Rattus norvegicus: one gene and its partner. The protein of the gene in region 2 purifies or fractionates together with the protein of the main gene of each other region. This does not show direct contact. Links are inferred from orthologs where the notes say so. Each region holds a gene or a part of one and is shown on either strand. Other genes may lie near its edges.

What was found.
Region 1: the proteins of Tubb5 (region 2) and Hdac6 purify together in Homo sapiens (affinity purification with mass spectrometry; 4 studies listed by BioGRID, with this or other methods). This does not show direct contact. The link is inferred for Rattus norvegicus from reciprocal best matches to the Homo sapiens genes TUBB and HDAC6.

Annotation. Positions count from the first base shown.
Region 1 is NC_086039.1:17,226,098-17,229,746, reverse strand, and holds part of Hdac6 (histone deacetylase 6), read right to left. Parts: intron 3,465-3,649; coding exon 3,380-3,464; intron 3,287-3,379; coding exon 3,246-3,286; intron 2,419-3,245; coding exon 2,322-2,418; intron 2,169-2,321; coding exon 2,071-2,168; intron 882-2,070; coding exon 777-881; intron 666-776; coding exon 597-665; intron 1-596.
Region 2 is NC_086038.1:2,916,358-2,920,512, forward strand, and holds the start of Tubb5 (tubulin beta-5 chain), read left to right. Parts: upstream 1-1,219; 5' UTR 1,220-1,415; coding exon 1,416-1,472; intron 1,473-2,757; coding exon 2,758-2,866; intron 2,867-3,205; coding exon 3,206-3,316; intron 3,317-3,447; coding exon 3,448-4,155. UniProt on the Homo sapiens protein: Tubulin is the major constituent of microtubules, a cylinder consisting of laterally associated linear protofilaments composed of alpha- and beta-tubulin heterodimers.

The DNA.
Region 1 (3,649 bases), on a different chromosome or scaffold from region 2:
AAAGGTGTGTACCTCTCTTCACAGGGTTTACAAAGGATAAAATGCTTTTCTAGCACCAACGTAGTAACTGTGTCTCCAGTACACTGTTCTATGAGCTAGTTGCCAGTGAACATGTGAAAGAATATCCTATTGGTAGTATGTTATTAATAATAATAATGAGTATTTATATATGCATACCAACTGAGTCTATAACCTAAACTGTTGTTGGGGGTATGTTCATATGTCAATATGTATATTGACTAATTTTTAAGAATAGTTTGAAGTGTTGTCATAATTGAAAAAACAAAGCACTAATCTGAGGTCCCCTCCAGCTCAGGGGTAAATTGCTGAACAAGATATCCGAATATTAAGTCAAACCCCATGTCGTTCACTGCCTGACACTGTAACTTGTAAAGTTCAGTTTGACCATCTGTGAAATGGGAACACCACAGTTCCTGCTTCAGAGTGAAATTAATAGACAGCAGATGACAAGGAAATAGTACACTTCCAGGTTCCAGGACAACTGAGTATGAATGGCTTCCTAGCCCCTATGGCTGGGCCTGATGGTTAGCAGTACTTAAGAATCCAGTACTTAGGGTGGGACATGGGATATATACCTGGGGTCCTGGTCGAAGATGAACTGTGTTCCTTGACCATGGTGCACATCCCAGTCCACGATGAGAATCCTGTGAGCCGGCGAGAGGAGCAGGGGACTGAGTAAAATACAGAGGAACACCCTAACCCCAGCACCTCCCCATTCGATGCTACCCACATTCCATGTGTCGTTTGCTACTGACCTCTGAATGCGGTGCTTCTTTTGTGCATAGCGGGCAGCCACAGCCAGGTGGTTGAACATGCAATACCCATCCATAAGACTGCGCTGAGCATGGTGTCCAGGAGGCCTAGGCAGGAAACGGAAGGCTACAGACTCGGGAGGCTTCCTCCACAGAGACGGACTCTCCCATGTTCCCAATTCTTCTAGTAGAGAGTCTCTAAGACTGCTAGCAACTGAGTAACAACGCTCTCTCATCAAAGGAGAGCTAAACAGAACCACCAAAAGGTGCCTGCACACCCATTTGGCATTGTGACATATGCCTGTAATACTAACACTCAAAGAAAGAATTTGAAGTAGGAGGATCTATAGTTCAAGGCCTGCCTAGAATGTATAGCAAGCTCCAGTCTCAAAAATTAAAAAAAAAAAAAGAAGCTATCTGTGCATACTCTTTCATAGCCAGTCATTTTGCTACATAGGCTTAGCTGAGACCTATATAATAAAAAGTGCTATCCTTAGAAATGTGCCACTGGTATTTGCTATGGTATTTGAAGCAGCAAAGATAGAAGAAAACCAAACTCCCCACCAGCATGGGAGTGACTAACTTAAAAGTATGCACGATGGCATCTTACTCAGGTATAAGCCAAGTACTGTTAAGAGACAGCTTTCAAAGATGTCCAAATGGGTGTTTTTTTTTTTACTGCCCGTGGTGGTTAAAAAGGGACTGCAGGGGACAAAGGCTATCTTCTACGTTTTTATCAGTTCTAGGAAGTCAGCTGCAGCAAGATGTTCTGACCTTCCATGGGCAACAACGAAACAGAAAATGCCACCGGCTGAAGCTTCAGATGTCATGCAATGCTGGGTGCATCTGGATTTCAAGATGTTCCAGATATAGCCCCCTGAATCAATGAACTGTGGGACTTATTACTTACTAATTGAGTAAAACTACTGCTGAGAGGACACAGAAGTTACTGGTGACAATGGGCACCTTTCAGGAATCCACCAACACAGAGGAAAGAGAGTTTTATTGAACCCCCTTCGTGTCACTTGACTCTTCAACCACAGGAAGACACAGTACCCGAGTTAATACATTTTACATTTGGAAGACTTTTTTTTTAATATAGCCCAGGCTGGCCTCAAATTTATATAACTGACGCTAGCCCTGAACTCCCAAGCCTTCCTTTGACATCCACCTCCAAAATCCGGGTATTACAGATATGCACCTCTATATACCACTATGTGGAAATACTTTTTTTTTAATCCCTGCCCCGGATATACTTTTGAAAACATGTAAGAAGCCAAATGCTTAAGAGTCCTACCTGATGACGGCCATGCCATTCCGAATCTCAGCCCCCATAACTGCATCTACCAGCCTGAGGACAGAGCCTGTAGCTAGGCAGGCACATGAATATGAGTTCTGGAGACCATGGGAAACCAGAGAGAAAGAGTTAGAGAGAGGGAAAGCATTGCCCTATTCATTTAGCTTCTCATTCCCACAGTGAGGTTGGCATGGATACGGGAGATACCCCAGAGATGCTGCCACGCCCTGACCCCACAGTTCTCTCCATACCGGATGCAGATAAACGGAATCATAGGTGCCTGCAAGAACTCGAAGTTCTCCTTCATTCATGTACTGGGTTGTCTCCATCAGATCAATGTATTCCAGGCTGGAGACACAAGATAGAGGTTTTACAGCCCTGGTCCCTTTCCAGCCATACCTTCTACAACCAGAACTCTTGTCAAATCAGGCTTCCAGTCAGCCGAGGGGTTCAGCTGGGATTTAGGCTGCAGTCCCTGCTTCCTTTCTAGCCTCCCCCATCCCCAGTTATGTATTTAGTTCCCTGTTGAAAGACATCAACTTGTACTTCAAGGCCTCTGGCTATATAGTTACAGTTCTGTTGAATCTTCCTTTCCTCAGTCCTTCTCTTCCCTAGACTCACCCACTTTTTTGCCTCTTGGATCTCAGCTCATATATTCTCTCTGCCAAACTGGTTCTTCTGTGAGCCACACTGTACCAGGCTCCTTCCTTTGAGCTTCTTTAGTCCCCAGGACCCTCCTGGTCACTTTGACAAGTATCTAGCATCAGCCAATGAACCAGATTATAATGACACCAGCCCTTCACAGGTTTAAGATGCTGTCAGGTACCTGATACACACTGATCCCCCTGAAGGACTTAGATTTCTTTTCTTTAGGGGCTAGGAGGCTTTTTTTAGACAGGGTCTCATAAACCCAAGTTAAACCTGCTATGTAGCTGAGGCTATCTTGATTTCCTGATTCTCTTGTCTTCACATCCCAAGTGATGGATTGATTATAGGCATGTATCAACACACTTGGCTGGAACTTGGGTATTTTAGCCATGACGCAGATTCAGAGAGGCTCAGGGACTTGCTCAAGGCTGGCCACAGAGTCTATGGGATTCTCTCCTAAGCATTCAGTCTATCCAGGTTGGGCACGGGGATCCTCCTCCCTGTTCTATCAACTCCTATGTTTTCACCTGTGAACCAACATCAGTTCCTCCTTCTCGGCGAACCGGGCCTGGGGAGACACAAGGCAAACAGGCTAAAGTGCAGGCCATGCGTAGGTCCTGCCAGTTCCCCACCCACCCTTTGAAGGCTGTGGAGGAGTCACCTGAAAGGACACACAGCGGCCCAGGAGGCCCTCCAGGATCAGCTGCTCTTTGATGGCATGGAGCCGCTCAGGGTTTTCAGGGAAGCTGGGGAGGTGGAGAGGGGGATCACACAGATACACAGACAAAATGCTAGGGAGCACGTCTGCTCTTGTCCCATCTCCTACCCACCCTCCCATAGCTGCTCACCTCTTACCTGCAACATTAGCATTTCCTTACGTCTTCCACTACTTTCCTCCCTGCTAGCATTCATGCGGGTAGTGGGAAACTGC
Region 2 (4,155 bases):
TTAAACCTAAAGCTGTGCCTCAGGTTGTCCAGGTAGTCTCTAGGTAGCCCAAGCTGACCTTGAACTTCTCTTGCCTTCTAGTCAGGATTCTGGGATTAACCGTGTGAACCACTCCTGCTCTTATTCTAATGAATCATTTTGTATCTCCTTAAAGGTTTGAGGATACTTAGTATTTTTCAAAACCCTGGAAAGAAAAGCTTACGAGCTCTGACTTGGGCCCATTCAATTCCCATCTTCCCTCTCAGTTCCAGGACATTGCCACAGACTCACCTAATGAATAAAATCAACTAACTGGAAAACAAAACACAACAAAAAAACCAACAAAACAAAACAAAACAAAAAGAAACAAACAAAAGCCCTTGCAAGTGTCTGAGATGGAGGCACTATATAAAGACTAGCATTCTCTTAGTCTGTCCACTCCAGTCTATACTGACAAGATGACCAGGATGTCTTCAGTGTCTAAAGGCCCGAATCTCCCAGAGATTTTACACACACCTCCATTCTTTTGGGACATCAGCTCCATGCAGATTCTCCATGATCCTTGCAATTTTGTTTCTCTTTTGAAAACCCCTGAGACACCTCCCATGGAAACAGAAGGGCAATTCTTTCATTCCTGTCTTGGGATCACAAAGAACTAGACACTGTGTATCAGGGAAGGAGCACACAGTTCTCAGGATTTTCCGCTGAGCTGTGCAGTCTGGCCTTCCCAGACCTTCTGCGGTGGGCAGCTGGCAGGGCGTGCCCAACCCACCTTCCAACTCAGGCACCTCAGATCTCATCTAATTACTATATTTCCCCAAACCTCTTTTCGTACAAAATCCTCTCTCAGGAATAGAGGCTAGGAATCGAGAGGTCATTTTTCATGAAAAATAAAATAAAATCACACACACACACACACACACACACACACACACACACACACACACACACACACACACACACACACACACACACACACACACGCGATACCCCCTAATCCTCCCACAGTACCCACCCATCTTTAACTTCTTTTTGCAGCGTGGACAATAGAGAACTACAACTCCCAAAAAGGACTGCGCTCGCCACTGGCTCAGAGACCAATGGCCGTCTGGCACGTGATCCGCTGGTCTAATCAGCGACTGGTTGGGTAGGCTTTGTCTGCAACCCGAGGCGCCCGCCCATCTCCCGCCCCCGGCCGCGCGAACGCGCGCCCCGCCCTGCGCGCCTTCCCTCCTGCGCTCGCCGGCCTCTTCTGCCTCTTAGAACCTTCCTGCGGTCGTGCTCGCATCTCTCTGCAGCAGCCTCCGGGGCTACGTTCCATCCTATCAGTCTGAGACCAGCCCAGAAGAAAAAAACCAAAAATCCTTAATTATCTTCTTTTGCTCGGTACCTACATTGGGACCATCAAAAAAAGATTATTACAGTAAACCGTAGCCATGAGGGAAATCGTGCACATCCAGGCCGGACAGTGTGGCAACCAGATCGGTGCTAAGGTAAGAATTTTATAATTTTAGATGAAATATGTAAGGATGAGATATCTGTGTTAATCGTGAGCAATGCTAACGGGGCGTTTGCATTCTCCGCTCGTCAGATTTGGCCCCTCAAAGTTTTGTACGTATAAATATAACCCATATTTGTAGCTAGCGTTCTAATATTGAGAAAATGTTTTTCTTGGCACATCTTCGGAAAGCTATTAAGAGACGCTTTTGAGTTCGGGGAAAAGGAGAGGCTGGGGGACTCTAAAGAACTGGTATTAAAAGGGGTTTTCTAACGGTCCGAGGACAGGAGGGATGCGGAAACGATCCGAGACAAAGCCGAGGCGAGGTTTTCCCCTTGCGCCACCCCCACCCCGCCTGGAGGGCCCTACTGGAACAGAATGGAGGGGGAAGGGGCGAGGTTTGGCGGGCAGCTGCAGAGATGCCCCGGTGCGCATTACCTCAACAAAGGCTTGGATACTCCATAGAACCCGCCTTCCCAAGGCTTTTTTTAGATTATGATTCTATGTAGGGCACTACTTTTACTTTTCATTGCCCTTAAAAGAGGTCTTAGGGTGTGAGCGGACAGAAAGTGTGAGCTTTTCAAGTATGTGAGAGACTGTCGGGGAGATTAAGGAGAGAGAAAGAAGGAAGGGAATAAAGATCGGAGGCCATGGGGTTTTTAAAAATTTTCCCCCCGTTTGCGGGCAATTGCCCTGTAGCGGGGGAGGGGGAGGGAGGAAGTGCGGCCGCTACATTGCAGCCGAAGGGTGGGACCCTCTTGGGGGCGGGGCTGGAGCCCCTGGCGCGCAGGGACAATGCGGCCCGGGCCCGCGGGGGCGCACTGGCCCCGCCCCTCGAGCTAGGCCCCGCCCGCACTGCTCCCGCCTTTGTGGTTTGCTGGAGGAGCGGCCCGCCACCGCAGTCACGTGGAGCGCGTAAGGGGTGGGCGACTGCAGTGGCCGCACCTTTCTCCCCCAACCCTCTTTTGTGCTGGCCAGGAAGGGCGGTGCCTGGCTTCAGGAACCAAACCTAGGTGCTGAGCCAAGAAGGTGGGCGCCAATCCGCCCATGTAGATGCTTACAGTCCCCGGCCCTTTGAATCGCCAGTCATCCGTCCTATCCACTAAGGTTGTAACCTTCCGGGGCGTAGGCTCCTCGGTAGAGGGTTCCGCAAGCAGATAACGGAATTGCAGTGTCTGCACCACAGCTTCGTTTGAGCATGTCTGGAATCGAAATGAGGGGCGGGCGGCATCCCTTAGGACTTGAGCCATTGAGGCCTCACTGCTCTCTTCCTTATGCAGTTCTGGGAGGTGATAAGCGATGAACACGGCATCGACCCCACCGGCACCTACCACGGAGACAGCGACTTGCAGCTGGACCGAATCTCTGTGTACTACAATGAAGCTACAGGTGAGGGAAGAAATCCCGATTCTTCTGCGTGCCCCCCTATTGAGACAGGGACCCCATTCATCACTGGCCGCCCTGGAACTCACATAGATCGGTCTACCTTCCAAGTGTTGGGTTTAAAGGCAGCATCACCACCCTGTTTTCCCACACTTGGGTATCAGTTACCCCTCTGTGAGACTCCCATTTTTCCCCCCTTACACACACACCTTATGGGGCTGAAGGTTGGCTCTACTGCCACCAGGTGGTAGTGCCTGGAATGACAACTTTAGTGATATGTGGCTGATTTCTCCACCCCAAATTTGAGCTATTTCATCGCTGATCGAACATCTTGAATACTTGTAGGTGGCAAGTATGTCCCTCGAGCTATCTTAGTGGATCTAGAACCCGGGACTATGGACTCCGTTCGCTCAGGTCCTTTTGGCCAGATCTTCAGACCGGACAACTTTGTTTTTGGTGAGTTATGTGGAACGGATTCCCATGTGTCCCCCAGTGGGATTATTTCAAACGTTGAAAGATTAAGAAGTATTGTGTTTCTCTCATATGTGATTAGGCTTTTTAAATTTTTCCCCCTTATTACATTCCAGGTCAGTCTGGGGCAGGCAACAACTGGGCTAAGGGTCACTACACAGAGGGAGCTGAGCTGGTTGACTCTGTCTTGGATGTGGTGCGGAAGGAGGCGGAGAGCTGTGACTGCCTGCAAGGCTTTCAGCTGACCCATTCGCTGGGTGGAGGCACGGGCTCTGGCATGGGCACCCTGCTCATCAGCAAGATTCGAGAAGAATACCCCGACCGCATCATGAACACCTTTAGCGTGGTGCCCTCACCCAAAGTGTCTGACACCGTGGTTGAGCCCTACAACGCCACCCTGTCCGTCCACCAGTTGGTAGAGAACACAGATGAGACCTACTGCATTGACAACGAGGCCCTCTACGACATCTGCTTCCGTACCCTTAAGCTCACCACGCCAACCTACGGAGACCTGAACCATCTCGTCTCTGCCACCATGAGCGGTGTCACCACCTGCCTCCGTTTCCCGGGCCAGCTGAACGCCGACCTTCGGAAGCTGGCTGTCAACATGGTGCCCTTCCCGCGTCTCCACTTCTTTATGCCTGGCTTTGCCCCTCTCACCAGCCGTGGAAGCCAGCAGTACCGGGCCCTCACTGTGCCTGAACTCACCCAGCAGGTCTTCGACGCCAAGAACATGATGGCCGCCTGTGACCCACGCCACGGCCGGTACCTCACGGTTGCGGCTGTCTTCCGTGGACGGATGTCCATGAAGGAGGTAGATGAGC